4 linked regions of the Pelodiscus sinensis genome follow. The protein of the gene in region 3 purifies or fractionates together with the protein of the main gene of each other region. This does not show direct contact. Links are inferred from orthologs where the notes say so. Each region holds a gene or a part of one and is shown on either strand. Other genes may lie near its edges.

Region 1 (7,141 bases), on a different chromosome or scaffold from region 3:
TTTAAAGCAGAAGACGCTCAAGAGATAAACATCTCATTGTTTTATTTGGGCAGCTTTGTTAACAGAACGATTTCTACTTCAGGATTTCTCTTCTGTATGCTTACCAAATTCTCATTTACAATGCCATCACTTGCTGCAAAGAAGGCTAGGATATGTGAAATGAAGTACTTTTCCTCAGGCTTCAAGGATTCCCAGTGCTGAATATCTTTGGAAAGATCAACCTGAAGAACAAAAGCAGGCACTTACAATTTTATCATGCTACTAAAGAATGCATTTATATAAAGCAATGTTATACTGTGTATTAAACATAAAATATTACTGCAGTAAATCAAATTATGAAGTTTAATGGGTTCCTAGAACCATGGAAAGTTGTTCTTGGTTTATGTCACTTTTTCCAAAGCTATTTTAATCCGGGCTGGGCAAGATGCAGCCTGAGGCCACATATCAAAATTCATTAAGTGCTCTCCTGTAAAAATTATTGCACACCCCTGCATTAAATATAACAATTTTAAGGCTCTAGTACACTTAATATACAGTCACTGTTGGTTCTTAACAAGCTTAGGCTAGATCAGCACTAGAAAATTAAGCTGGCCTATGTTGGTAAGGAATGACTTTTTTGCACCTTTGGCCAATAGCTAAACCTCCAGATCAAAGAATTCTTCCATGGATCTAGCTCATGGATTACCTATGCTGACAAAAGAAACCCTCACATTAGCACAGGTAGCGAGGCACTTCGACACATCATCTGTAACTCTTTGGGACATGGACCATCTTTGTTGCATTAGTACAGCACCTACTACAAAAGTTCCTGATCATGACTGAGTCCCACAGGTTTTATTGCAATGTAAATATGTTAATACTACTAGGAACACACACTTTGTTATGAGCTGGCCTGAGCGGTGAATATCCAGTGGGCATGTCCACTGAAACAACCAGAGCAGGGATACCATCATGGGAGCCTCTCACCTCTTCAGCTGTCCAGAAGGAGGCCTCTGCTTTCTTATACATTTGCCAGATATCATGGTACCGGATGGGGAAGATGACAAACCGGTGGGGATTCTCCCGTAGGAGTGGCTCATCTTCCAGATTGCTAGGAGCTTGAGTAACTGCTTTGGGTTTCAACTAAAGGAGACACAATAAGAAAAATTGATTTCCATGTCCCCAGTGTTGGTAGACACTGTGGATGTTGGGAAGAGGAAAGCGTAACCATGAATGTGATGCACTAGTTTGCATCCCATTGTGATCAGGGACAACTAGGAGCGGGGAAAGAACGTAGGGGCCAGTAGCCACATGACCCTCCCCCCTCAGGCCAAGGAAGGGTTGGGACAACCCCTTCGGCCCCAGGCCACACCCTTCCTCTTTTGGGCACTTGCTCCACCCTGCCTCTTCACCCTCCTCCCCAACTGGATGTATCTGGGGGCACTTGCAGGGCCAAGGGGCCAACCCCCCTCCCACACATACTCACAGGCAGCAGTGGGGGCAGCTGAACGTGGCCCCAGCTCACTCTGCTTCTCTGGCCATTGCTGCCAAGTGCCAGTCCCTCCTTCACATCTCTCTCCACCCCAGATGCCCAGAGAGTCTAGCCTGCTGGCTGCAGCCAGGCCCCTTGCCCCTCCCACCCGTGGAGTTTAGGTGCATGTGATGAGACTATTTTGTAGATGAAGTCAGGGGGCACGATTAGGTCTGGGTTGGGGCTTGTCTATGGCATGTGGTAACCTGTTCAACAGAGGTGTAGCTTCTAAAGGGCACTAAACTATTGTGCAGTACTTGGCCCATGCAGACCTACTAGTGTACACAAAAGGCCTTTGTTCCCCGACCCCAGGGGAAAGGGGCCCCCTGGCGGAAGGAGGGGGGTGCTCCCTACCCCAGGGAAGGGGGAGAGAAGAGGCCCCCCCGCGGAAGGAGGGGGGTGCTCCCCACCCCAGGGAAGGGGGGGAGAAGAGAGGGCCCCCTACGGAAGGAGGGGGGTGCGAAGAGAGGCCCCCCCACAGAAGGAGAGGGGTGCTCCCCACCCCAGGAAAGGGGGGGAGAAGCGGGAGTGCTCCCCACCCCAGGGAAGGGGGGGAGAAGCGAGGGGTGCTCCCCACCCCAGGGAAGGGGGGGAGAAGCGAGGGGTGCTCCCCACCCCAGGGAAGGGGGGGAGAAGAGAGGCCCCCCCCGCGGAAGGAGAGGGGTGCTCCCCACCCCAGGGAAGGGGGGGAGAAGCGAGGGGTGCTCCCCACCCCAGGGAAGGGGGGGAGAAGAGAGGCCCCCCCCGCGGAAGGAGAGGGGTGCTCCCCACCCCAGGGAAGGGGGGGGAGAAGAGAGGCCCCCCCCGCAGAAGGAGAGGGGTGCTCCCCACCCCAGGGAAGGGGGGGAGAAGAGAGGGGCCCCCCCGCGGAGGGAGGGGTGCTCCCCACCCCAGGAGAGGAAGAAGGCGGGGGGGGGGGGCTCCCGCGCGTTGGCGGGCCGCAGAATTTGGCGCCAAGGCAGAAAGCGGCGGGACCAGCCTCCCGCTGCCGCCTAGCTCAACCCGCGCGCGCTCACAGCCGCTTCCTCCCCAAGCCCAGCCCGGCCGATCGCCCGAATCCCCCCGGCTCCCCTCCCCTCCCCCCGGCCCCGACTCACCGGCTTCGCGTCCGCCTCTTGGAAGATCTTCCGCGCCGTCTTGGTGGCCAGGACCCGCGTGGCGCTGAGCGCGGGGGGCTGCGGAGACAGAGAGCGGCTGGTGAGAGGCGCCGCGCCCGTGGCTGGGGGGGGTGGGGGCGGCGAGGGGGGGGGGGCGGCCACTCACCGTGTTCTCCTTGTCGGTCAGGACCAGGTTCTTCATGGGCGACAGGCGGGGCTGCTCGTTGCGGACGGAGAACGGGGCCCGGGCGGGGATCATGGCGAGCAGAGAGAGGCAGCGGCTGGGACGCGATGAAAGCTCCGGTTCAGTCGTGCTGGGGGAACAAGGGGTGGTGGGTGCCCCGGGGACGCTTTATATTCCCTTCGAACTTGGCGCCAGAACGCCAGGCCGCCCAATCGCAACAGCGGGCACTCCGCCCGCCCCGAAACCTGCCGTCGCTGCTGCGTTCCCATTGGCTCGAGGCCCGGCCGCGGCGCGCTACCCATTGTCACAAACGAGGGAGCCGCCGAAAATTCCGACCGCTCTGCGCTTCTATTGGTCAGAAGCCTTAGGCCGGCCACGCCCCTCTTTTTAGACAAGCGGGAATCCACTTCAAAAATCACTTGCACGTCTCCTGGAGGCTTCCATTGGCCCAAAGCCCCAGCTGGACACGCCCCTGGATTGTCCTGACGTTCCACCCCCTGCGTCTGCCCCCTCCCTTTCGCACCTTTTGTTGCATTGTCTCTCCCGCAGCGAGAAGAGGGTCAGTCTTGCCTCATTCTCCCCCTCTTTTAAAGCGGGATAAGAGTCTATCGCACGGGGGTGTTTGCAGACTCGGAAAAAGTACATATGGGAAGGGGCAGGATGGGTGGCTCTGTCGCTCCAGAGCTGCTGATTCCCACAGACCAATGGTTTTTAACCTTTTTAAATGTACGGATCCATAAAAAAATAGGAATGGCAGTGCAGACCCTTAGAAATCTTAGATGTAGTCTGTGGGTGCCCAAGGGTTCCCAAACCACAGATTGAAAACCTCTGTCTTGTTTAGGGTGACCAGATTTTCTAGGTGTAAGCGGGGGAATGATTCCGCTATTGTGGGGAACTTTCCTGGCGTTTATACCACCCCGGTGAAATGGACCAGCGAAAGGATCTGAGTCCCCACTCCCACTTCCTTTACCCCATGGCTCCCCTGTTCCTGAGGGCTCCCCCTCCACCCTCCTGAGTAGCAGAGCCCTTGAAACCCCAACAAGGCTGGGCCCAGGTTTCCTGGGGCTTAATCCCCGACCTTGTAGTCACTAGGGGCAGGAGTTAGGGTGTCCCCAGTCCGAGGTGCTCTCTTTACACTGCAGGCCGCCTTGGCCCAGTGATCACTTCATAAGGTTCAAAGCAAATACAATTTATTAAACATCAACTGATTAAAGAGAAAAGAATAAGAAAAAATGAGAAAGGTTAAATGAGAACACACAGCCCTGCTCTGTAGCACAGGGACATCAAAACAGCAGTCTGCAGAGTGTAAGGACAGTCCACAGTCTCTTCCTTAGAGGCCCCTTAGAGGCCTTGGATGTGCTGCGGGGGGGAGGGGCTGCAGGCTGGACACGCTTGCTCTGGCAGTGACCACACAGCCTCAAGCTCTAAGTGGCCAGACCCCTCTCCCAGTCCAGAGCCTCTCCCCACACTTTGCAGTTCCCCTCTGCTCACCACATCCAGCTGCAGGCTGAGCTTCTTGGCCAGTCTCTAGCTTCTTGTGTTGCTTCTCTGTTCCTTTTGGCTCTCTGAGCACTGCCAGTCTGCTGCTCAACACAGGGTCTGCGCTCCTTGAGCCGTGTGTGTCTGGCTCAGCTGCTGCAAAAACTGCCCCTCAGCACACAGCTTGCACTGCTTGGGCTGTCTCTCAGCTCTCTGTTTGCTCAGAGAGAGTCAGAACAATCCCAGCTCACAGGGAGGACGGGGCCTGGCCTCTCCCCTTCCTCACTGGCCTGTCCAACCTGTCAATCAGGCTGAGCTGGAGTGTTGGCTGCTTTCCATTGTCAGACTCATGTCCCTTCTGAAACTGGGAGCTGGCAAACCAAAAAACTCCCACAGAGTTTTAGTAAGGGGTAACAGTCCCCTTACATAGGGACAGTCTTGCTGTTCTGGGCTTTTTTATAATTAGGGGTAGTATATCCCCCACCCCGTCCTAGTTTTTCCACTATTTCTATTTGGTCACTTAAGTCATGTTGCAGACCACTTTAGGGAATGCCCTCCCGCTCCCACCAAGCACCAATAAACTCAAGAACCAGGGAAGTACTCCTTTGGTGGATGGTCCCAGTAGTTTAGGAACCAGAGAAGATTTAACCCTTCTTCTGTGCTCCCTTTGTCTCAGATGCCCCAGCAGGATATTTTGTCTTTACTCCTCCTGGCTACGTCTAGACTGGCATGATTTTCCGGAAATGCTTTTAACGGAAAAGTTTTCCGTTAAAAGCATTTTCGGAACAGAGCGTCTTGATTGGCACGGACGCTTTTCCACAAAATCACTTTTTGCAGAAAAGCATCCGTACCAATCTAGACGCGCTTTTCCGCAAAAAAAGCCCCGATCGCCATTGTCGCAATCGAGGCTTTTTTGCGGAAAACAAATCTGGGCTGTCTACACTGGATTTTTGCCCCAACAGGAGCAGCATAGTATTTCCGCAAGAACACTGACAATCTTACATGAGATCGTCAGTGCTTTTGCGGAAATTCAAGCGGCCAGTGTAGACAGCTGGCAAGTTTGTCCGGAAAAGTGGCTGATTTTCCAGAAAAACTGGCCAGTCTAGACACAGCCCCTGAATTAGTGATATTTTATGTCCTGAAACATGATGTCTGTAAAAATAATGGTGGGTTGTTCACTATATATTTGAGAGAGTTTGTCGATCTGTGTCCGCCTGAATCTGTCTGTGTGTCTGTTGGTTCAAGAACTCCTAAACCGTAAGAGCTAGGGCTGCCAAATTCAATGTGCAGCTTTCTCTTACCATAACTTAAACCAAGGTAAAGGTTCGGTTGTGCCTGGAAAACAGGTTGTGGGATTGCTTCCTACAAAACCATACAGAAAAGACAGCATCACTAGACACATGAAAGGCGCTGGTAGGCGGTGCACACACCCCCATTCAGGACTGCCCCAGTCCTGAGTCTCTCACCCCTCAGGTGCCATTTAAGGAGGGTAGAGGGGCTGCAGGCCTCCCCCCCCCCCCCCATTCATACAGGTTCATATAAAATCATACAGAAAAGAGATAATCACCAGGCATGTGAAAGGGGCTGGCTGGGGGTGTCTCCCCACCTCCCCAAACTGCCCCAAGTCCCAAGCCTTTCACCTCCCAGTCATCCTTTAGAGAGGGAGGATGGGAAGGGCTGAAGTTTTCCTCCACCCCCTGGATTCATACAGGAATATTGCTGGCTGTTACCCCAGGGGAAAGTGCACAGTTTGCTGAACTTCTCACTCTGGCTGGGGAGCGCAGGACACAGATGAACCTGGACCTGTTCAGTAGAGCGACATGTACCCTTCTCCCAACTGTGCCCACTGAAGTTGCAGTGGCCATAGAGAGGTGTTTCTCACCTGTCCCCAAGTTGCTGCACAAAGAGAGGGCTAAGGTAGTCCTCTCTCCCTGGGGCAGCCTGCATACTGAAACCTTCATCCCCAGCTCCAATATTTTATTTTCCAAAACACAATAATTAATTGAGTTAACGACTTGAGCAATGCCGGGTAAGTCTTGTAGTATAACTATATTTCTTAAATCTTTTCAATGCCTCAGATATATCTTGTGGCAATGAGTTTCATCAGTCAGCAATTTGTACATGCTATATGTCTTACCTTCCCATTAAATGCTCTCCCATTCAGATATAATTCAAAAAGTGAAGTAGGACAATCCTGTTGATCTTTTCTGTGTTGTTCATTGTTTTGTATACCTCTATGACATTCTCTCTTATCTATACTTTCTCTTCTGGCATAGACAAGGTCAAAAGCCTAGATTCTGCAAAGACTTAAACATGCAAAATTCATGCACAGGAATAGTTTTAACATATGTTATATATGTGCTTAAATTTTTGAAGGATTAGAGGCACATGAAGAAAAGCTGTACTGTCACTTTCATCTCAGATTTTGCTGTCATGTGACCAAACTTTGGCTTTAGGGTGGACCATGGGAGAGTATACCCTTCCCCGCATACACACACACACATTCTCGCTCATTCACTCACTTGCTCTCGCTATGTCTACACTATGGAGTTTTTTCCGGAATACTGGAGGTATCCCAGAAAAACTCCGCCATGTCCATGGAATGCAACATTTTTTGCGGAAAAGCAGACATACTCTTTCGGAAGCCCTGCAAACCTCGTTTCACAAGAAAGAAAGGCTCTTCCGAAAGAGGAGGTTTTTCTGAAATTTGGCCCAGTGTAAACAGGCCAAATTTCAGAAAGGCCTCTTCCGAAAAAACAATCGGAAAAAGGAGTGTAGTGTAGACAGCCTCTGATTGCTGCTTTTGACTTTCTAGGAAAATATGTGATGTATGCCACTTGATTTCGGATGTTTCTTCTTTTTTCAAATGGT
Region 2 (7,583 bases), on a different chromosome or scaffold from region 3:
CTCACAGAGCATTTATGAGTTGTTCACTGTCAAACTAGGAGAGTGTATCTAGTGGGATCCCTAAGGTGTCAGTTCTGGACCAGGCACTATTCAGTATTTTCACTAATGAATTGGATAAGGGAGTGGGGAGTATGCTTATAAACTTTGCAAATGGCACCAACCTGTGAGGGGCTGCAAGTACTTTGGAGGCCAAGACTGGTACTGAAAATTACCTTGACAAATTGGAGAACTGCTCTGAAATCAACAAGATAAAATTCAATAAAGATAAGTTCAAATCTCTTCACTTAGGATGGAAAATGCACAACTACAATATGGGGAATAACTAGCTAGGCAATAGTAGTATTGCTGAAAAGATTTGGGGATTATAATGCTTCACAAATGAGTCAACCTGATGCAGCAATGAAAAAGGCTAATATTCTGGGGTATATTAACAGGAGTGTTGTATGGAGGTAACTGTCTCCCTTTACTCAGCATGGGTGAGGTCTCAGTTGTAGTACTGTGTCCAATTTTGGCTGCTATGCTTCAGGGAAGATGTGGATAAACTGAAGAGAATGCAAATGAGAGCAATGAAAATGATAAGTTTAGAAAACCTGACCAGTGAGAAAACTGGGCATGTTCAATCTTGAGAAAAAAAAGACTAAAGAGGGATCTAATAATTGTTTCAATATGTCAAGGGCTCTTATAAAGAGGACGGTGATCAATTGTTTTCTGTGTTCATGGAAGATAGGACAAGAAGCAATTAACTTAATCTACAGCTTAGATATTTGGAAAAACTTGCTCCTCTAAAGGTAATTACATTGTGGAATACCCATCATTGGAGGATAGACCAGGGATGGTCTACTTGGTCCTACCAGCGTGCAGGTGGCTGAACATGATGACTTCTCAATGCACCTTCCAGCCCTATTTTACCAAAAGCACAACTGAATATTGAAATGGAACTGTACTTTCTCCCCAGAATAGGATGGTACAGCCATCCGTTTTAAGTTACACAGAGAGTTGCATGGGGAAGATACATTGAAAGTTTTCTCTCCACTTGTCTTGTAAAGAAGACAACAGCCAGAACTATTTAGAGTCCTTCTTACAAACCTCCCAAATGACTGCATTATATGGCTTCCTGTTCGTATACATTTGAAATGAAAAATGATTGCATTACAGATGTCTGGCATATGATTTGCAGCTAGGGTAACTGTTTTATAAGACTGATGGACTAATTATTGAGTTTATCATTTTATTCTGATCTTTTAATAATAATGTACAGAAATGTGGAAGGGCAATTATCCAGGCACATAAAAAGCGATTAAAATGTGTAAAAGCTATTAATGTGTTGTAGTATCAGTGCAAAGTATAAAATGTGAGTGTTTAATGGGTCTGGAGGGCTACCCTATAGGAAACAGAAGATTGCTGTCCTTAATGGAGCCATAGCAGGTGGGAATGGGAACATTTTTAACAATAATTGCTTCTCCCTCTTCTTGTGCTTCTTGGAAATCCAGAGTTGTATAATGGGGATGGAAAAAAAACAACACACCATTCAATGTTGTCATGCAGTCAGCAGTCCCTTAAATGACTGCAAGAATTAGAGTGATCCTGAACAGTTAGGATAGGCAGCACAGGCTGTGTTAACAAGGGAGAACTACAGGTACCATATATGTGATAAATGTGTAGTTTCTCTGTCATGATTTATCAACACTATGCGTAAGACCTGAGCAGTGGGGTGTTTTCTGTTGACCTGTATGGGAACATCTACACAGCAGGGCTAAAGCCAAAATAAGCTATGCAACTGGAGCTACATCAATTACATAGCTCAAGTCAAAATAGCTTATTTCAGCTTTTGGCGCTGTCTACACAGCAGGAAGTTCAAGTTAAAGCATTCTTCCTCTGACTTCCCTTATTCTTCGTAAAATGAGGGTTACAGGAGTCAGAGTAAAAAGTCCTACAACTTGACATTATAGGTCTTTCAACATTATGTAGAAATAACTGCTTGCTGTGTAGAACGTGAACCATGTTATTTTGGAATAACGTTAGTTATTCAAAAATAATGTCGCTGTGTTGACAGTCTAAGAGTTTAACTCAACAGGAGGCTCTCTGGGAAAACATGTCAGAAGGAAAAGAATAGGTCGAGATAGCCACCTCTCAGCAAACACTGAAGACCTATTATGGGACAATGCAAGAACTATTATTAGCTTTGGTGATTTTGCCTCCTCTCCAGCCAATCTACCCAAATGGTTCTTACCAGGACAGGATAAGACCCACAAACACAGGACAAACAAAAGAACTGTCAGAATCAAAAGGGACCCTCTCTAAATTCCATCCCAGCAAGGTAAAGGCAAAAGACCTAACATGTGAGAGAGACCAGAAAAGGGACAGAGGTGCAGACTGTCCTATAATCTGATCATAGGCATCCAGTAGTCTCAATACAGAATCCCTTCTATGTGCATTGCTAGTGAGTCTTGTGTCTTCTCTATAAGAGTCAATACAAACATCTTTTGCCACAAAGAAATTCATGAAGCAGAACCTCACAACCTCTTGTAGAAAGAACGACAACATCTGAAGAGTTCTACACTACTAGCAGCTACAGTTCTAGCCTCTCCTTACCACTTTCCCCACAACATAGCAGTGAGGAAATGAGAAAGACGTATCGGTGAATGGGAATTCAGCGCTCAAATGAGATTCCTTCTTACTCAGAAATAGAATAGTTTACCTCCCAACCTATGCAAAGCTCCAGGGAACCACAAGCTGATGATTCCATGAAGAACTCATCTGCACATTAACCTGTCCAGATTTCGGTCTAGTTTAGCCAATTCTTTTTAAAATCAAGAGGGAAGGGCCACAGTAAAAACAGAGAACGAGAAAAATCCTCACAAGATACAAAAGGAGGGCATATGAATAACAAGGTGCCTGAGGTTTCAAAATTAGTGCCACTAACATTACTGTATAACATTACAGAAGGTGCTGTTCAAATAAATGCCTGCATACAGCATGTTAGGTGTATCTCAAAGGGTTAAGAGAAGTAGATCTTGCTCAGCATAAAACAATGGGGATTCTTGCCTGGGATCAGACTGCATGACAAGGCTATTAGAAGTACTAGTTTTCGAACAAGATATCAAACTAAAGTGACAATGGAAAATCCCACACCATATTATTTAAATAAAGGAGACATGCCCTACCTACATTTCCCCTCTCATAAAACAGTATTGAATGTGCATATCTGTCTGAGAGTCATTGCTGAGCAAACAATGATTAGCAGGTTTGCCTGTGCAGTCATCACAATACCAGTAACTATTGCATTCACCTTGAGAATGAAATGAGCTACAAGTAAACCAATTTTTATTTTAGAAATACAGATTATGCAGTGCCATTTATCAACCCTAGACTCAAATCTGTCAACCATTGTGTAAGAATTATGATGTCAATCTAACATGTGGGACCTTTCTTTTTCTGGGCTGGAATGAGATGAAATGCAATATGCATTTAGACAGTATCCACGTGAGTAGCTTTGGCTCTCTTGAAAGACTCAGACCAAACTGAGCTCTGAGCTCCTGTCTCAAAGTACAACCTATCTTTAAGCAGGAAACTGTTGTCACACTTATCTCATACATATATTAACACTTTGTCTAATAGCTTTACAGTTATTTCAGTCATCCAAAAAAAAAATCCCTCCACAAAACGCTCGGCAAAAGAGTTTTGAAAGCTGCATAACTTGTTTACTTGATTCTTCATTGCAATCCAAGCAAAAGGCTTCATTCACCCTTGTCTCCTTTGATGCATTTAACTCACCTTTCCTGCCCCTTCATATGTTCTGAGATCCTGCCTGCCTAGAATCCTAGAACTGAAAGGAACCTCGAGTAGGGATGTAAAGAGTTAACCGGTTACCTGGTAAGCATTGCCTTATCTGCATGCTTACCAGAGTAACCAGTTAACTGGTGCCTGGCCTGACAGGAGCAGCCCCTACCTGTGGCACATCATTTAGTTGAGCCCTGAATGGAAAGCGCTGCATGATGGAAGATCCCTAGTAGTTGGACTTCAAATTGCCTTTATATTTTCACAGAATTGGGTTTTACCTGTAACAAACTTAACACTGTAAGAGAACCAAGAGACGTGTGTTCATTATTTTAAATACTGTCAGCGCAGGAGAAACCTAACAACTATGCAAATACAGTAGAATCAACAGCCCCATGAAAGAACTAGGCAGTTATGATGGATGCCTCTTCCACAAGGAGCTTCGACTGGAGCAGCGGGCACGCAACGCTCCCTTAGCCGTTCAACGTCCTTCAAGGGGAACAGCGCCAAGGCCTTCCCCGCACTCACCTCACCTCTCCTCCTCCTCCCCCTCCCCATCTCGCCTCTGCCTCAGCCTTACGCATGCGCGCTGCTGGTAGGCCGGATCATACCATTCCTCTAGGGTGTGTGTGAGGGCAATCCCAGATTTGCTTCTGTCCCTGTCAGGAGGTACGGCTCCGCACATCCCGAGCGAGGTACACTGAGGACGGTGTGAGAGCTTCTTTACGCAGATCCAAGCAGGCCACGTTCCCGGCGTTTGCTCTTTTCCGTTCATTTCCAGCTTCCCCCCTCCGAGGGAAGAATAGTTCGCCCCCAGACCGGTCTCTGCCTCTGGGGGCCGGTAGGGCCGCCATTTTGTCAGCGGCGGCTGTAGGAAGGTGGAGGTGTCTGTAACCCTTTCGCCCCGTGTAAGGCCCCCTTCCCCAGCCCGGTGAGCAGAGCAGAGTTAGAGGCAATGGCGTTCCCAGTCCCAACCGCGGCTGGGCCTGTCGGAGCGGGTCGGGAGCCGCGGGGAGTTAGGCCCAGCCCGGAGCTCGAGAGCGGCTGGGCCTGACGGGGCGGGCAGAAGCGCGCGCGGAAGGGCTGGGTGGCGAGGCCTAGCTGCCCGCGGGAGGGGGTGGTGGTTATAAACTAGGCCTCATTTAGGGGTAGCGTATCGGCAGGCCATCTAGTCTGGTCCTCACCCCTTTCTCCGGGTAATGGTTTGGTCCTGACTCCCTTCCTCTGTGGCCTGACCTCTGCTCCCTGTCTCCCCAGTGTGACCAGGACATTTACCCCCCTCCACCTGAGAAATGGTTGGGCCTCTGCCCTCGCATTGTCTGATCCTTGCTCCCCTTCGCTTTACCCCCCACCCCCCGCCCCACTCTACTTTGGTCTGGTCCTTGGCTTTCCCCCTTCTTTTTCGCTTCCCAGCAGTACCTGTTGGCTCATCCCTTCTACCCCGTCCCACTCAGGGGTGCGCCTCGCCTCGCCCCCTCAGTGGGGTGATTGGTGAGATCAATGCAAATTGTAAGCAAACCCTTTATTCACACCCTTTCCTTTCCCAGCATTCCGCTTACATGTCACCTTGCACTTCGTTGTGAGAACGTAACACACACAAAGCTTAGAGAAGATAAAATGCAACCTCACTTGATAGTTTCCTTATGCCTAGCAAAAAAAGTATTGTCGGTGTTTTGCAGAGAAGCTAGGATTAAAAATAAAATTGGAGTAAAAAAATTGCTGATCTCCTCCCTGCTTTTTTTGTTACTCTATTAGTAAAATCCAGCAAAGATGTCCGAATACATCCGTGTTACTGAGGATGAGAACGATGAGCCCATTGAGATCCCCTCAGAGGATGATGGCACTGTGCTGCTATCCACAGTTACTGCCCAGTTCCCTGGAGCATGTGGCCTGCGTTACAGGAATCCAGTGTCTCAGTGTATGAGAGGAGTCCGGCTAGTGGAAGGAATTCTGCATGCCCCAGATGCTGGCTGGGGAAATCTGGTCTATGTTGTTAATTATCCCAAAGGTTTGTTTTTGTTCCATGAATATTTGGTACAGCCATGCTTTCTTAATTACAAGGAATTTTACATCAAGAGCTAGAGATTCCTTATTTTTTGTTTTCCTCTTGTCAAACCATAGCACAACTACAAATTAGTCCTTTTCACATGAATGTGTGTGCCTGACCCACAGAGTGATTTTGAGCGTTCTCATTCATGAGAGTATTATTTAGTATAATTCTACAAGGTGCTTTACTAATAAAACTTTACCTTACTTTTTGTAAGACTTTTAACAATCTCACAGAGTTATCAAAGGTCCTATCCTACAGTGAGTTTTGTGCAGAGCTAAGGTTTGCCCACGTGAAATTGCATGATTAGAACCAATGACATCAGTGTTGTAAGAGAAGGTGTGGGAAAGGTGAAAGATGACCAAAAAAAGAAAAAAAAGAGTAAGGAGAGCATTTTTCCGTTTTCATTTGAGTAGCCATTTTTCAAAGTATATATAATGCATACAAAATCTGGTCAGGCATGTGAATGTTATTTGGCAGTACTTCAATGGAAAACATGCTGAAAGTGTGTTTTTAGATGCATTTGTGTCTGCCTGTCTTCTGAACTTCTATCCCAATACTGTAGGGCAGTTGGATGTGTATTATAACATAATAATAAATATGTATCTTTCCCTATTAGCTTCCATGATACATCCTGAAAGGATCTATCCAGTGATGGGCAGCCTATGGGCTGCATATGGCCCACTGGGATTTCACCTGAGGCCTGCATGTCCCCTATCTGCCCCCTTCCCCATGCCTCTTGCACACTGGGGCACTGGAGCCTATCTCTTCTTTCACCGCCACCTCCCTCCCAGCACTTTTGTAGCGCCATGAATCTGCTGATTCACACTCCATCCCTGCTCCTTCCCCTCCCTCTCAGAACTTGAATGCTATGAATCAGCTGTTCATGGCTGTTCAAGATGGAGGAGGAACAGGGACTGAGCATGAATTCAGTGGATTCCTGATGCTCCAAAAGTGTTTAGAGGGAGGGGGAAGAATAGGATGTATGGGGGGTCCAGTTCTCCACTGTGTGTGAGGCATTCAGGAAGGAGGCAGAAAGCGAGTGCGAGGGCCGCAAGTTGCCCACTACTGGCAATCATGCAGCCCACTCACTAGTCTTGGTTGTTCTTCACTGATCTGATCCTAGTACTATGCTGCTTCTGACCAATGAAAGCAGCTTTCCTTCATGTGTTGTGGAGATAGATGACAGTTTCTGATGTGTATCATTTAGATAACAAGAGAAAAATGGATGAAACGGATGCCTCATCAGCTGTGAAAGTAAAACGAGCTGTACAAAAGACATCCGATTTAATAGTTTTGGGTCTTCCTTGGAAAACCACTGAACAAGATTTGAAGGAATATTTTAGTACGTTTGGAGAAGTTCTCATGGTTCAGGTAAACTCTGTTGCACTTGCCTCTCCACTTAAGTCAGAATTTGAATTCCGTTAACTTAAACGTTTTTCTATTTGAGCCAGTACAAAGCAATTTGGGTAGTATAAAGAGTACATCTTTAACTACTGTAACATTAAAATTTGCTTTACACTATTTGCAGTGTGCTATTTTTTCTTGGGGATATCTTGGTATGTGTTCAGGTAGTTGACCCATATCAAGACTTGTTTCTGAAAAGGGAATAATTCTGTTGTAACAGTGTAAATGAGACAGAATATGGCCCGCTGTGTGATGATTGGGTTTTGTGCTTACATGTTAATTTATTATTACTATTATGGTAGTTGTAGTGTTTTTGAAGACTGAATTTTAAGTTTCATCAATATGTTTTATG
Region 3 (7,267 bases):
TGCTGTGTTCAGCAACACCTGGGAGGACAACAAGGAGCACCTACTCCTGACTTAAAGAGGCAGGTCTGACCATAAAACCCTCCAAGTGTAAGATAGGGGCAGCCAAGGTCCCTTATCTAGGACATTGGGGGGGGGGCGAAGAAATGTCACCTGACCCAATTAAGGTGGAAGCCATCGTTAACTGGCTAGTACCTCAGAGTAAGAAACGGATCCAATTCTTCATAGGCATGGTGAATTATTACAGGCAGTTTGTGGGCGGGTTCAGCGACATCATAGCCCCCATCACGGACCTGTGCAAGAAGCATCAACCTACTAAGGTGGTTTGGTCAGAGGCCTGCCAGAAGGGCTTTGATGAGGTGAAAGTGCTCCTGTCAGCAAAGCCTGTACTAGCCAGCCCTGATTTTGATAAGACATTTGAATTGTGCACTGATGCATCTGACAGTGGCTTGGGGGCAGTGCTTATGCAGACAGGGAAGGATAACAAGAAGCACCCTGTTGCCTTTCTAAGTAAAAGCTGTCCCCTACTGAACAAAACTACTCCGTCATAGAAGAAGAGTGTCACGCCATAGTGTGGGCGGTCAAACAGTTGAGACCCTACCTCTTCAACAGGAGATTTAGAATTTTTACAGACCATTCACCACTGATATGGCTGAACAGAACCAGGAGCACAACCTCGAAACTGCTGCGTTGGAGTCTGATTCTACAGGAGTTTGACATGGAGATCGTGCACATAAAAGGCAAGGAAAACACGGTGGCAGACGCCCTGTCCAGGAAAGGGGATGTAGGAGACACTACCTCTGCACTGAACACTGTCCAACCCTCCAGCAGTAGTTTCATGGGAAGGTGTGACGGATTCCCCCATGCTTTATGAAATGGACTCATGGACACGAATATATATAACTCAAAAGTGGTGTGAGCAAATTATTTCATGCAACCCATCGATCTTCATGTCAAGATCTGCTGGTTCTGTTTATCTTACTCTGTTGTATGTATCATTTGTGTGTGTAAAATTAGACACAGGGAGTGAGGAATAATTTGTGAATTTCCAATGTGTGAATGGGAGACATGGAGGGTGTTACCTGCAACTTCTAGATGAGCCACTGTTAAACACTCTTTTGTCCTTAAGTCTGAGCAGTGGTTGGTAGGGAGTGGCATCAATTCCTTAACAAAAGGGACAGGAAAGTAGAGGACTGGGTCTTTTGGCTGGGCTGTACCTGGAGGAAGGATCCTGAGACCCCAGGGTGGGGAAGACAGCCCTGGTTTAGAGTGGCAGGTGGAAAAGTTTGCACTGAGGTTTCAGTGGAGAATTAGCCAAGCTGTTTTGTTTCTTTTGATTTGTAACCTACTTTGCTCTGCCTCCTCTCTCTTATTACTACTTAAATCCTACTGCTTCAACTTAATAAAACCATTTTTATTTTCTATCAAACCGAGTGTAAGCGACTGTTACCTGGGGGGGGCAACCAGTGTGCACATCCCCCCTTTCATTGCTAAAGGGGGCTTACCTAATTCTTTGGGGTTTGATCCCATCTGGGGAGTGCTCTCTGAGGAGGCTGGGCCCTAAACTGCACTCTCCTTGGATCTGAAGTGGTTCAGTGTCTGTACTGCTTTTCCATAGGGGCAGGGAGCTCAGCTCAGGGCCTTGGCTAGGGGAGACCAGAGGAACTGGCCCAGCAGGACTGGGCAGTGAGGAGCCCCAGAGAGCAGGAAGGCGAGTGGCAGTGGCCGTGTCAGCACCCCGGGAGGCACCCCCGAGGGGTCGTCTGTGACGGCACCCCGTCACAAGGTTACTTTCTGTAGTTTCTTCATGATGTGTGGCCCCTAACTGGATTCTAAATATGAGTGTGCATGGCACCAGGTGCCAGAACTGTTCATAGGAGAGACCGTTGGCCCGCACATGCATTGTGCACCAGCTGTATGGTGCATGTGAAGCTTTAGGAGGCAACATAGGTTGATGCTGCGCCAGTTCCCCTCTTATGAGTTAGTAGAGGAGTTGGTGGCTAAGGGGAAGGAGGTCAGGATTAGAATTCAGAGAAGGATCACATATCTCAATCTCCAGTTACAGCATGCAGCCTCCTCTTCAGAGGTACCAGTTAGATAGTGTGGAGGGGCTCTAACCCTCCCCTCCTCCCAAGTATGAACCCCTGAATTTCAAACTTGACGTCTGCTTAAAGTGCATGCCCTGACCCCCGACAAAGCTCTTAACTGAAGCAGAGCTTGTGCTGCTCCCAGTTTTGCCTTGAGGGGTAGGGAGTTTATTTATAAATAGAGGGAGTCAGAGTAATTAAGATAACAAAAGGCTTGTCATTACATTAATTGAAGGATCACTAGATGATCATGAAAACATTTTCAGGCACTCCACTTAAAAGATAGGAAACAAAGGGTAGGAATAAATCGTGAGGATGGAGGGAATTAACTAGGTAACCCGTTCCAGTGCTTCTTCACCCTCTAGGGAAACTTTTTCCTAATATCCAACCTAGACCTCCCCCACTGTAACTTGAGACCACACTGCTCCTCGTTCTGCTATCCACCACCACTGAGAACAGCCTCTCTCTATCCTCTTTGGAACCCCCCTTTAGGAAGTTGAAGGCTGCTGTCAAATCCCCCCTCACTCTTCTCTTCTGCAGACTAAACAAACCTAAATCCCTCCACCTCTCCTCCTAGGCCTCCTAATCGTTTTGGTCACCCTCTGCTGGATTCTCCAATGCATCCACATCCTTTCTATAGTGTGGGCCCAGAACTGGACACAATACTCCAGATGCGGCCTCACCAGAGCCAAATAAAGGGGAATAATGACATCTCTGGATCTGCTGGCAATGCTCCTCTTAATGCAACCTAATATGCCATTAGCCTTCTTGGCTACAAGGGTGCCCTGTTGACTCATATCCAGCTCCTCATCCACTGTAACCCCCAGGTCCTTTTCTGCTGAACTATTACTTAGCCATTCAGTCCCCAGCCTGTAACAATGTTTGAGATTCTTCCTCCATCCCAACTGCAGGACTCTGCACTTGTCCTTGTTCAACCTCATGAGATTTCTTTTGGCCCAATCCTCTAACCTGTTCAGGTCACTCTGTACCCTATCCCTGCCCTCCAACATATCTACCTCTCCCCCCAGCTCAGTGTCATCTGCGAACTTGCTGAGGGTGCAATCCATCCCCTCAGCCAGGTCATTCATAAAGATGTTGAACAAAACCGGTCCTAGAACAGATCCTCAGGGCACCCGGCTAGTGTTAACTGGTTAAACTGGGGGCTGCTCCTGCCCGCACTGGTTAACGCTTTGCATCCCTGCCAGCACAGCTGTGACCTGCTTGGTGCAGGAGCGTAGGGTCATGCGGGGCATGGGTGGAGGGTTGAGACTCCTAGCCTGAAAGACTGACAGGGAATGCGGGAGTCCCGGCCCACAGGGGTCTGGAGACGCGGGGGGGGGGGGGGGAGGAAGGGGCGGGAGACCCCGGGAGTGGGGGAGGCGCGGGAGACCCCGGCGGGCTGAGGCGGGAGGCCCCGGGAGGGGGAGGGGCGGGAGGCCCCGGCGGGCTGAGGCGGGAGGCTCCGGGGGGGGAGGGGCGGGAGACCCCGGGAGTGGGGGAAGGGCGGGAGACCCCGGCGGGCTGAGGCGGGAGGCCCCGGGGGGGAGGGGCGGGAGACCCCGGCGGGCTGAGGCGGGAGGCCCCGGGGGGGAGGGGCGGGAGGCCCCGGCGGGCTGAGGCGGGAGGCCCCGGGGGGGGAGGGGCGCGGGAGACCCCGGGAGTGGGGGAAGGGCGGGAGACCCCGGCGGGCTGAGGCGGGAGGCCCCGGGAGGGGGAGGGGCGGGAGACCCCGGCGGGCTGAGGCGGGAGGCCCCGGGAGTGGGGGAGGGGCGGGAGACTCCGGCGGGCTGAGGCGGGAGGCCCCGGGAGGGGGAGGGGCGGGAGACCCCGGCGGGCTGAGGGGGGAGGGGCGGGAGACTCCCTGCCTGGCACTAGGCGCCGCCTCCCCACGCCGGCCGGCGAGGTAGAAGTTCCGGTGTCCCTGAGCACGTGCCCACTCCCAGCGAGCCCTTCGCGCCAACTGCCCCAATTCGAATCCGCATCCTGAGCGCCCAATGACGGGGCGGGGAGCGGGCGCGAGGTCCCGCCCTGTCCGCAGGCCGGCCAATGACAGCGCCAATTGAGTTTGAAAAAAAGTGCGCGCGGCTGGTGGGCGGAGCCTCCCGTGGAGTCCGGAGTCCGACGCGCTCGGGGCGTGGCGCAGCCTGAGGGGGTGGATCCTCGCGCTCTCCGCGACGCGCGCTGGGCTGGGGGCGTGGCCGTGGAGCTGGGGCCCGCCCCTCGTGCCCGGCGCCGGGCTCATTCCGAGCGGGCTGGCGGCGGGCGCGGCTCGGCTCCCTGGGGACGCGCAGCGCGAGCCCGGCGGCAGCATGAAAGCGGGCGGTGAGCGTCCCCGCGCCCGGCGGGCTGGGCTCTCTGGGGGCCACCCTGCGGGGGGGTCCTGCAGGGATGGGGGGGGCCACTGCGCGGGGGGGGTCCTGCAGGGATGGGGGGGGGCCACTGCGCGGGGGGGGGTCCTGCAGGGATTGGGGGGGCCACCGTGCGGGGGGGTCCTGCAGGGATTGGGGGGCCACCGTGCGGGGGGGGTCCTGCAGGGATTGGGGGGCCACCGTGCGGGGGGGGGTCCTGCAGGGATTGGGGGGCCACCGTGCAGGGGGGGGGTCCTGCAGGGATTGGGGGGCCACCGTGCGGGGGGGGTCCTGCAGGGATTGGGGGGCCACCGTGCGGGGGGGGGTCCTGCAGGGATGGGGGGCCACCGTGCGGGGGGGGTCCTGCAGGGATGGGGGGGCCACCGTGCGGGGGGGTCCTGCAGGGATCGGGGGGGCCACCGTGCGGGGGGGTCCTGCAGGGATCGGGGGGGCCACCGTGCGGGGGGGGGGTCCTGCAGGGATTGGGGGGGGCCACCGTGCGGGGGGGGTCCTGCAGGGATTGGGGGGGCCACCGTGCGGGGGGGGGCCAGCAGGGATTGGGGGGGTCACCGTGCGGGGGGGGTCCTGCAGGGATTGGGGGGGGTCACCGTGCGGGGGGCTCCAGCAGGGAGTGGGTTGCCAGCCCGTGGTTAGGGGGCTCTTGCCCTGGCAAACTCCAGATGCCTCATGTGGGGCTGGGGGGGGGGGGGGGGTTAAGCCCAGCAGGGTGGATGCTCTGCTGTCTGTTTTCTGGGGTGTCCTTGGGATGGGTGCTGCATGTTTCTCTGAGCCTCGGACCCTGCATTCTCAGATTTGAGACATGAGGGCTAAGTAGTGTCTGAAATACCCTTCCCAGCATCTGATGGGCTAATCCCCTCACCTCCATGTCCCCAGATGGTCTCTGGCACCTCCTTATTGTCCTTTTTACTTCTCCCCTGTGCTCATAAAAGAGTGTGTTTTAGATTTTATTTTTAAATTCCAAAGAGAGGGAGCCCCACTGGTTTAGGCGGGTGGATTTAAAAATCAACCGAGCCTATAGTGGGACAGGACGCTGCCTGCAGGGGGAGGGGACTCACTCATGGTTCCTGCATGGGCACCCAGGACTTGAGAAAAGAGCTGCTAGTCTTATCTTGGTCACTTTGGGTTTCTCATCAACCCAGAGAGTTTCACAAGATAACCTTACTTTATAATTTATGAAATGAAGGTGTGGCTGCAAGATTTGCAGGGAACAGATGAGATTTTGCTTCAAAAGACAGGGTGTTTGAATGAAATGTAAATTACTGAAATATACACATTGCAAAATTCCCCATCAACAGCAGAGACTTGAATAAAAATACTTTAAAAGTTTAATTCAGAATTAGAGGGATTTTTGACATTTCAGGCTGGTCACAAGATTGAAAGTCAGACTCAAGTATTGCAGTTCCCTGTTTTTTTCAATATAAGTCTCATTTTATCTTTGCCATGATAACATCTACAATTGAAATATGACCTCTAAGCAACCCTCCATTCTCTCATGTCCAAAGATAATTCAAATTTAATATAATAATATACAAACTGCAATATTAATTCCTAATTTAATATGGCTGCCTCTGGCTGAGGGAAGCAGCTAATTGGCACACTTATGGAGGGAAAAAGGAGAATGTATGACCAAAAGCCTAGGAGCAAGCTCCCCTAATTTTACACAAGTGCTAAGGATTCCTATGTCCAGAGCAGACAAAACTTGCTTTTTTATCATCTGAGCATAGTGAACTGCTTGCAGATCATCTAATGAATTACTTTTTTGCCAAAAACTATAAATGGGTTTACCAAGTAGATTTTGTTGCAGGCAGATTTATTTTAAGAGGAAAGGGTTTTTTATTACACTTTCTGCATTAATTGGACAGAAATATTAGAATACTTCACCCAAGTTGAATGTTTTCTGATTCTTGCTATGGGGTACATAACACTAGAAGATCTGCTTCTTAAATACACTATCTTTGCTTGCTAAATGTATTTTGGAATGCTTTTGTTGTTTAGTCAGTACCTGAATTTAAAATATTAGAAATGCAGCTTGTATACACAATGTAGATATGTTAATAGTGTATGAGGCCATTTTAAAGTTAACTCACTGTAATATAACTTCTGGGCTACTAGAGCTATATTGTCCACCATCTAGTCTTGCTTGATTCAATTTCCTGGACTGTGGGTCAGTTTCAGTTCTGAATACAGGCTTAATTGGCATGCCAGTCTAGAGATGAATTCCTTCTTACATTGCAGTAGTTCTCTTGCTGAAATTGGGGGGAGGGGGGGAGATACCTATGAGAATAATTTAGTGATTTGTGCATATCAGAATTGCCCTTTAAATTACATTAATATAGCCTTTTATTACCAGGAGGAGAATGGATGTTTAGTTAGAATAGTTATCCTGGAAACTCCAAAGTATTAATAGGATACATACTCAGTTTGTTAGTCTGGGGTAGCTGAAGCAAAATGCAGGACAATGTAGCACTTTAAAGACTAACAAAGACGGTTTATTAGATGATGAGCTTTCGTGGGCCAGACCCATTTCCTCAGATCAAAAATCTGATCTGAGGAAGTGGGTCTGGCCCACGAAAGCTCATCATCTAATAAACCATCTTGTTAGTCTTTAAAGTGCTACATTGTCCTGCATTTTACTCAGTTTGGATATTTTAGGTGGCCCGTTGCTTTTTCCCCCCCTAGGCAGATACCTATTCATTTGCATTAGGAAATACCCAGGTCTAGGGACTGTATTACTCAGTCTTACGGAGTGTCTCTCTACCTGGAGAAATGTTGCTAGCCCTTGCTAGATAGAGGGGTACTTCTGGTGACCATTCC
Region 4 (7,840 bases), on a different chromosome or scaffold from region 3:
TGAAGGAGATTTTGCTTCTCACTTGTGTGGCCCCCAACTGATGTTTTTGTGGGTCAGTGACCCTAGACCCAAAAAGGGTTCTCCACTCCTCCCTTAAATAAAGAAAACATTGAAATATTTTGTGTTGCACATAATATGTTACTTTATTTAAAATGAAGTTTGGTAAAATAACACGAGAAAGTTAAAACGCTTAATCTATTTCATAATTTAAATTAAACTGTCCTTATTAACTGCAGCTGGTTCAGAAAATAAGGTCAGGATACCCAGCAAGGTAGTTCTCAACCCTGCCCCTTCTGTCCAAGGCCTTGCTCCTTCCTGGTCAGCCCGTGTCCACTTCCAAAATTTGTGAAGTGCCCCCCCTCCAAAATTATTGCCCACCCCGCTTTGGTTCTTATCAGGAAAACAGGCTGCAAGAACTGGGGGAGAGAGAAGGGAAATGAATCAAAATTGGCATTGAAATCTTAACTAAATAACTTAGAATTTTTGTTTAAAATTTTCAGTCTTTACTTTGTGGTAAGGTTGACTGTGCTCCTTTTCTGCATTTGCTACCACTCACTGTATGCTCGTCTCTCTTGCAATCCTAATTTTATGTATCCAGTTTCCTTACCATAATAACGGGAACTGCCTTTCCTTGCAATCAACAAGTAACTGATGGCCAACAGTACGCAGGATGAGGATGACCCTATCCAGAATCAAGGGTGAACCTCTTGCTACATAAGCATGTCAGTTCTCAGCACAAGAAGAGGATGCCCTATTCCATTTATTCCCCATTCCTTACCTGCATAACATCCAAAGGCATTCTCTGCATTCCTGACATAGTTCTGATGTTTCCCCTCTGCCAGGTACACCAGTGCTTAGCCTTCAAGGTTTGCCCACCACTGCTGGTTTTTATAGAGCTGTATCAGAAGCCTTAACTTCTTCAAGGATCATTCCATTTATTTCAGGAGACGCACTGCCACAGCATACAAGACAGGATATACTGGCACAGCAGGAGCACAGTTGGGCTTTCAAATCACAATAGTGAGCTGGGACTTAGCATTGTGATGTACTTTGGTCCTACCGGATAAATACAAATTACTGGCAGCTCTTTAGCCTCTATTATCCCAAATAAAGAGACGTGGCTGGGATCTCAGTTCCCTCTAAGGTGCATGCCTCTGCGGCCATGCATGAAGAATTCTAGGCCTGCCCACCTCATCTGCAGGGCCTGGAAAGTGACTGGCGAGGTGGGTTCTAGCTCCTACAGCTGCCATGTGGCCTGCTGCTCTGGCAGGTGGGGCTGGGGCCGCATGGTCGATGGCTGCTCCGGGAGCTGGGGCCAGGACTGCATGGTGGGTGGGTGGCTGCTCCGGCCAGCTCTGGCTGTGGCTGCATGGCAGACAGGAGGCTACTCCGGCCAGCTGGGACCAGGGCTGGGGCCATGTAGCAGGTGGGTGGCTGCTCCGGCTGGCCGTCCAGAACCGCGACCATGGCTGCGTGGCGGATTGGTGGCTGCTTCGGCCAGCCAGCCAGAACTGTGCCTCCCATCTGTGTCCCTTCTAGTCTGTTTTTCTCTTCCCTTTTTTACCTCCATCCCTTCTCCAGCCACTTCCCTGTCGTAAGAATTCTAAGTAAGGCTATAACATTTTGACTAACCAGCCTACCAAACAAAGAACTAGGATTTCTCTTCTCATGCCCCCTCTGGCATTACTCCAGATCCCCCACCCTTTCCCAATATAATAACTGTGAATTGTTTTGCTCAAATAATGTTGCAGAAGAAAATCAGAATTTAGGAAGACAGCAAAAAGTATTGGGATGAAACAAGGAACCAGTCCTATACCACTGAAGTTAACTAGAGTTTTGCCATTAACTTAAAAGAATGCAGATTAGAGCTCAAATGTTGTGGCTTCTACCCTTTGCAAAATGGTTATTAAGGGTATCTGAAAATAGTTTTCTTTCTGTATCTGTTGTTAGGTAAGATAGTCAAGCATGATGTGACTGAGTTTAAGTTCGCGGTTCCGGACGGTCATACTGTGTACAGATGTGGTTTCCTCACCTCAAAAAAGAAATTTTGGCCTTGGAAAGGGTTCAGAAAAGGGCAACTAAAATGATTAGGGGTTTGGAATGGGTCCCATATGAAGAGAGGTTAAAACGACTGGGACTTTTCAGTTTAGAAAAGAGGAGACTGAGGGGGGATATGATAGAGGTATATAAAATCATTAGTGGTATGGAGAGGGCGAATAAAGAAAAGTTATTAGTTCCCATAATAGAAGAACTAGAGGACATCAAATGAAGTTAATGGGTAGCAGGTTTAAAACTAATAAAAGAAAGTTCTTCTTCACACAGCGTGTAGTCAACCTGTGGAACTCCTTGCCAGAGGAGGCTGTGAAGGCTAGGACTATAAGAGAATTTAAAGAGAAGCTAGATAATTTCATGGAGGTTAGGTCCCTAAAAGGCTATTAGCCAGGGGATAGAAATGGTATCCCTGGCCTCTGTTTGTCAGAGGCTGGAGAAGGATGGCAAGAGACAAGTCACTTGATCATTGTCTTCGGTCCACCCTCTCTGGGGCACCTGTCAGCAGACAGGCTACTGGGCTGGATGGACCTTTGGTCTGACCCAATATGGCCGTTCTTATGTTCTTATGTAATCTAAACTTCCACATGTACCAATTGGACAAAATATGCCTGTATGGTTTGTTTAGTCATTAGATCATCTGCTAAAAAATTCTGAACTCAAATTAACATTAATATAAAGCTGTCATATTCCATTATGCTAGATGTACATCGCTATACCTCAGTTTCCCCTCTGTAGAGTTGTGAGGTCACGTGCATTAGCGATTGTGAGGAGGTCAGACACTGGAGTGAAGGAGGGCAGTGTGAGTTCCTTGATAGACAGACTGCATATGTCCCATTGAGGCTGGGGGAGCTCCATTAACACAGGCTGTGTAAACCTGAGCTCTGATGCCTTCAGGAAAGAGTCACGCTTCCCTCTGTTGGTGTAGCTTCTCCCTACCTGGCTGTGGGTCTCTTTCCATGTTCTCCTCACATTGGAACTAACCAGCCCCTTGGGTCTATCTCATGCCTTGTCCCTCATTTGTCTCCTATGGTCCCGGGGGGGGGGGGGGGGGGGGAGAATAGCTGCAGCACAGTGTTAATTATACTTTTAGTATTCTTTCTTCTATAATGTTTATATCTAAAGATATTTGTTAGTAACTGGTGGGTGCCAGTGACACACATCTGAACATGCACACGGGACCTCAATATTGGTGCACAAGACAAAACTTACTCTGCTCAGGATGGAAAATCTTAGCGGGAACACTGGATGGGATGTCATTCAACACTGCAGTGCTCCTTATTCAGTAACCAGAAGTCACTGCTCAGCTACACAAAGTACAAGGCACCTGGAGGAGAATTTAAACACGTTGCCTCCCATAGCATTCCCAACACTCACTTTGAAAGGAAACAAAGACTGAACAATTTTCCTGGCCCTGGGGCAGTATGCAACAGCCTAAAGTCACCAAGGTGAGATTTTTTTTTCCACTGAAAAATGTGCTTTGCAAATACTTGTCAGAGACAGACTGAGCCTTAGGGCAGGTCAACACTAACCCATGGAGGCATCACAACTGAAAATGAGCTAGACCAGCATCAATCTAGTGCAGCGGTGGCCAACCTGTGGCTCGCGAGCCGCATGTGGCTCTTCAAAGGAAAAATTGCGTCTCTTCTCACAGTCCCTTGCTCTGACCTTTTCTTCCTTGTCTGGGCAGGGCGCTGCTTGGCGCAGCAAGATCTGATGCTGCGGCTGACAAAGGCCTGCTTGGGCCACATGTGGCTCTTAAAGGGGCAGCAGTTTTTTTGGGGGGAGGGGGTTGTTTGTTTTTTGGTTTTTTTTTGCACAACAACTTGTTTTCCTCGGCTTTTTGCGCTGTATCCACCACTATTTTGGCTCTTTGTAATGAGTCGGCCACTCTGTTCTAGTCTCCTGCATGGTAGCACAGAGCCTTTGCCAGCCACCACTGTCCCCTGCTGACAGGGAGGCACTCTGAAAGGCCATGGGAAGCTGCGCGTGTTTGGAAGGAGAAGATTTACATTTTTTTCGAAAGGCCCCTTTGGCAAAGAGGAGCCCTGCTGAGTATTTTAGTGTGACTCGAAAATGCTCATTGCTAGGGGCACAACCGAGTGGGTGCAGAAGACTGATGGGCAGGACTAAAGGCACCCAACTCTGCCTTCTCGCCAGGGCAGCACGAAGCGCTCAGCACCCGACTGGGCCGGTCACTCTCCTGCATGTCGGCTTCTGGAGAGGAGCTAAGCGCCGGGGAGGCAGCAGCGCCGGCGGCGGGCAGGGCTCCGAGCAGCAGCAGGGCGGCCCAGGCAGGTGCATGTGTGTGGACGGGCACAGAAAGGAAGATGGAGGCGCAGAGCCCAGCGCTGCCCCACTGCCAGCTCCCCGCTTTGCAGCGCAGAGCGGCGAACAGCCTCCGTAGGCACCGGCCCGGGGCAGCCACACGCGGCTCGGCCCCGCCGCACGGAGCCCCGGCCGGTTCCAGCACGAAGCTCTGGGTCGAGCGCGGCCCGCAGCTCTCTCCAGGGCGGGGCAGACAGAGGGGAGGGGCGGGGCGGGGCGCCCACCAGCACCCCGGCTCTCGGGCGAGAATTCTTGCGTCGCCCTTTAAATGCTGCTGCCGGGTTCATTCCATCCCCCCGCCCTAAAGTTGCGCAATTCTGTCATGCGGGCGGGGGAGGCTGACTAGGGCTCCGCCCTGGCTGGCGCCTTTAAGAGCTCAGCGTCACATGATGCTTCCTTGCGATCTTTCCCCTCTCCCTCCCTCCCCTCACACCTGTTTGCGTGCGGGGCGGGGCGAAGGGAAAAGAACTGTCGCGAGTCTTTGGCCCTTTTCTCGCGCATGCGCACTCTAAGGGGCTGGGAGTCGGGTATCAAAATGGCGGCAGCGATGGATGTGGACACCCCAAGCGGTGCCAACAGCAGCGCCAGCAAGAAGCGCTTCGAAGTGAAGAAGGTGTGGGTCTCCGGCGGGCGCCGCCCTGGCAGCCGCGGGAGAGGAGGGGGGAACGGGGCGGTAGCTCCGGGGCGAGTTTTGGTCTCTTCAGAGGCCGGCTCTCCGGTTCCGCACTACGCACGAGTGGGCGGGGCTCTGGGTTTCTGGCGCAGTCCGGGGCCAATAGCTGAAGCGGGGTGACTGTACGTGGGGGACGGAGGGACCAATCAGTGGCGCTGTTGTTGCCGGGTGACAGCAGCGTGTGGGGGCGGGTCTGTGTTAGGGAGGTGTCCGCTCTGTTACAGGGAGTGGGCGGTGGCGTCCCCCCTTGAGGGCGGGGCTGCGCCGCGGCTCAGCCTGTTCCGTCGGGGCGATGCTGCGGGGCCGGGGCGCGGCGAGGGGGCGGGAAGTGTCGCCCCGAGGGGACGTGGCCGTGGGCAGGCTGCCTGGCGCCTCTGGTGTGGCCTTGAGCCAACGCGCAGCCACCCGCCACGGGCCCTCGCAGCCGCTTTTAGTTGGGTGATGTGAGGACGCTCCCGCCCTGAGTGGGTCTGGTGGCCGGGTGCGGGCGCTTTCTCCCTGATCCTGAATTAATTTTCGGCGTGGCGCAGCCCCCCGCCACCCCCTCTCCTGACGGCGCTGCTGTTCTTCTGCCGCAGGCCTTGGTTTCCCTTTCCCACCCGTTGACCTTTGCTTCGAAGCCTATCCAGGAGGGAAGACGTGTTTGTTTCTTTTCCTCTACCCCCAAAAACAAATCGTCAGGGACCCAGCGAGCATGGCAGCCCAGGAGTGGGCCCTGAGTAATAAAGCTTAATGGTGCCCCAGTCCTCTGTCTCCCTCAGACACCTGAGTGGCAGCAGTGGTGGCTGCCCCGTGCCAATACTGTGCAGTTTTCTACATGACTGTGGGTCAGACTGGTGTATGCTCAGTGAAGTTTGTCTTAGGTGCCCTTCATGTCAGAACTCTCCTTACTCGAGTCAAAGCTCCTAGTCATAGGCTTATTGGGTACTCTAGCCTTGCCCTATGGGCATGAATAACATCATCACCAGAAATTAAGACTAATAGCTGATTGGACCAGCTTCTTTCCTCCTTTATAGCAATATTGGATTTACTGAGCTAACAGAAGTAAAATAATCAATAAAATCCAGATTTTTTTAAACCATAAAATTAATAGTTATGACTTGAATACATCAAGTCTGCTGAGTAAAAAGGCTTTTACAGGTTTGCACAATAATTAATTCTCAGTTTAGAATCACACTTTAATGATAGAAAATACAGGACTATGTAGCACTTTAAAGACTAATAAGATGGTTTATTAGATGATGAGCTTTCGTGGGCCAGACCCACTTCCTCAGATCAAATAATGGAAGAAAATAGTCACAACCATATATACCAAAGGATACAATTTAAAAAAAATGAACACACATGAAAAGGACAAATCACATTACAGAACAGAATCATAGAATAATAGGACTGGAAGGGACCTCGAGAGGTCATCGAGTCCAGCCCCCCGCCCTCAAGGCAGGATCAAGCTCCGTCTACACCATCCCTGACAGATGTCTATCTAACCTGTTCTTAAATATCTCCAGAGAGGGAGATTCCACCACCTCCCTTGGCAATTTATTCCAATATTTGACCACCCTGACAGTTAGGAATTTTTTCCTAATGTCCAATCTAAACTTCCCCTGCTGCACTTTAAGCCCATTACTCCTTGTCCTGTCCTCAGAAACCAAGAGGAACAAATTTTCGCCTTCCTCCTTGTGACACCCTTTTAGATATTTGAAAACCGCTATCATGTCCCCCCTTAATCTTCTTTTTTCCAAACTAAACAAGCCTGGCTTCATAGGTCATGTTCTCTAAACCTTTAATCATTCTTGTCGCTCTTCTCTGTACCCTTTCCAATTTCTCCACATCTTTCTTGAAATGTGGCGCCCAGAACTGGACACAGTACTCCAGCTGAGGCCTAACTAGTGCAGAGTAGAGCGGCAGAATGACTTCACGAGTTTTGCTTACAACACACCTGTTGATACAACCTAGAATCATATTTGCTTTTTTTGCAACAGCATCACACTGTGAAATTTCCCCTTCCCCACCTCTATTATCATTAACTCACTGGCATTCACCTTCCTTCTCCTCCCCCTCCCCCCCACATCCTCCTTCTGTTCTGTAATGTGATTTGTCCTTTTCATGTGTGTTCATTTTTTTTAAAATTGTATCCTTTGGTATATATGGTTGCGACTATTTTCTTCCATTATTTGATCTGAGGAAGTGGGACTGGCCCACGAAAGCTCATCATCTAATAAACCATCTTGTTAGTCTTTAAAGTGCTACATAGTCCTGTATTTTGTTTCAGCTACACCAGACTAACACGGCTACATCTCTATCACTTTAATGATAGGACCATGTATGTTCTTGGACCAGGGAGTCCTAGTTGCGAACCCCAGTGGCAAGAGGGCTGGCGGCTTGGAGCTTGGTGGGGTTGGGGCTGGCGGCTGGGGCTAGCAGCGGGGAGGGAGGGTAGCAGGGGACCTTTTCTGGTCTGTCAAATTCCATCATTTGGGGCCAGTTAGGTCCCGAAAGTGCTAGACCAGAGAGGTCCAACCTGTATTCAAAAACCTACACTGGAGCCGCAGATAGGCCATCCAGTTCTTTGTGCTAGCTCTCATGACATTTGAAAGAAGGAACTTGAGTGCAGCATGGCATATTTTAACTAGTTGATTGTCATTGTGGTGGCAGTGGTGACTTATTAGTAGAGCTGCTGCATATGGTCATCCCTAATGGTAACTTATTGGTAGGGCTACTGCTCATTGTGGTATTTTCCATTTGGTCAAGGAGATCTGAATTGGTTTTCCAGTACGATTCTCACTTTCC

What was found.
Region 1: the proteins of CCNF (region 3) and RRM2 purify together in Homo sapiens (affinity purification with western blotting; 5 studies listed by BioGRID and IntAct, with this or other methods). This does not show direct contact. The link is inferred for Pelodiscus sinensis from reciprocal best matches to the Homo sapiens genes CCNF and RRM2.
Region 2: the proteins of CCNF (region 3) and TARDBP purify together in Homo sapiens (affinity purification with western blotting; 3 studies listed by BioGRID, with this or other methods). This does not show direct contact. The link is inferred for Pelodiscus sinensis from reciprocal best matches to the Homo sapiens genes CCNF and TARDBP.
Region 4: the proteins of CCNF (region 3) and RBX1 purify together in Homo sapiens (affinity purification with western blotting, with the first as the bait; 4 studies listed by BioGRID). This does not show direct contact. The link is inferred for Pelodiscus sinensis from reciprocal best matches to the Homo sapiens genes CCNF and RBX1.

Annotation. Positions count from the first base shown.
Region 1 is NC_134713.1:27,356,251-27,363,391, forward strand, and holds the start of RRM2 (ribonucleoside-diphosphate reductase subunit M2), read right to left. Parts: upstream 3,015-7,141; 5' UTR 2,867-3,014; coding exon 2,774-2,866; intron 2,686-2,773; coding exon 2,608-2,685; intron 1,123-2,607; coding exon 967-1,122; intron 222-966; coding exon 105-221; intron 1-104. UniProt on the Homo sapiens protein: Provides the precursors necessary for DNA synthesis. Catalyzes the biosynthesis of deoxyribonucleotides from the corresponding ribonucleotides. Inhibits Wnt signaling.
Region 2 is NC_134733.1:11,715,135-11,722,717, reverse strand, and holds the start of TARDBP (TAR DNA-binding protein 43), read left to right. Parts: upstream 1-4,569; 5' UTR 4,570-4,708; intron 4,709-5,532; 5' UTR 5,533-5,547; coding exon 5,548-5,785; intron 5,786-7,034; coding exon 7,035-7,198; intron 7,199-7,583. UniProt on the Homo sapiens protein: RNA-binding protein that is involved in various steps of RNA biogenesis and processing.
Region 3 is NC_134726.1:1,950,678-1,957,944, forward strand, and holds the start of CCNF (cyclin-F), read left to right. Parts: upstream 1-4,251; 5' UTR 4,252-4,393; coding exon 4,394-4,406; intron 4,407-7,086; exon of another isoform or gene 7,087-7,267. UniProt on the Homo sapiens protein: Substrate recognition component of a SCF (SKP1-CUL1-F-box protein) E3 ubiquitin-protein ligase complex which mediates the ubiquitination and subsequent proteasomal degradation of target proteins.
Region 4 is NC_134711.1:89,607,894-89,615,733, reverse strand, and holds the start of RBX1 (E3 ubiquitin-protein ligase RBX1), read left to right. Parts: upstream 1-4,832; 5' UTR 4,833-4,876; coding exon 4,877-4,990; intron 4,991-7,840. UniProt on the Homo sapiens protein: E3 ubiquitin ligase component of multiple cullin-RING-based E3 ubiquitin-protein ligase (CRLs) complexes which mediate the ubiquitination and subsequent proteasomal degradation of target proteins, including proteins involved in cell cycle progression, signal transduction, transcription and transcription-coupled nucleotide excision repair.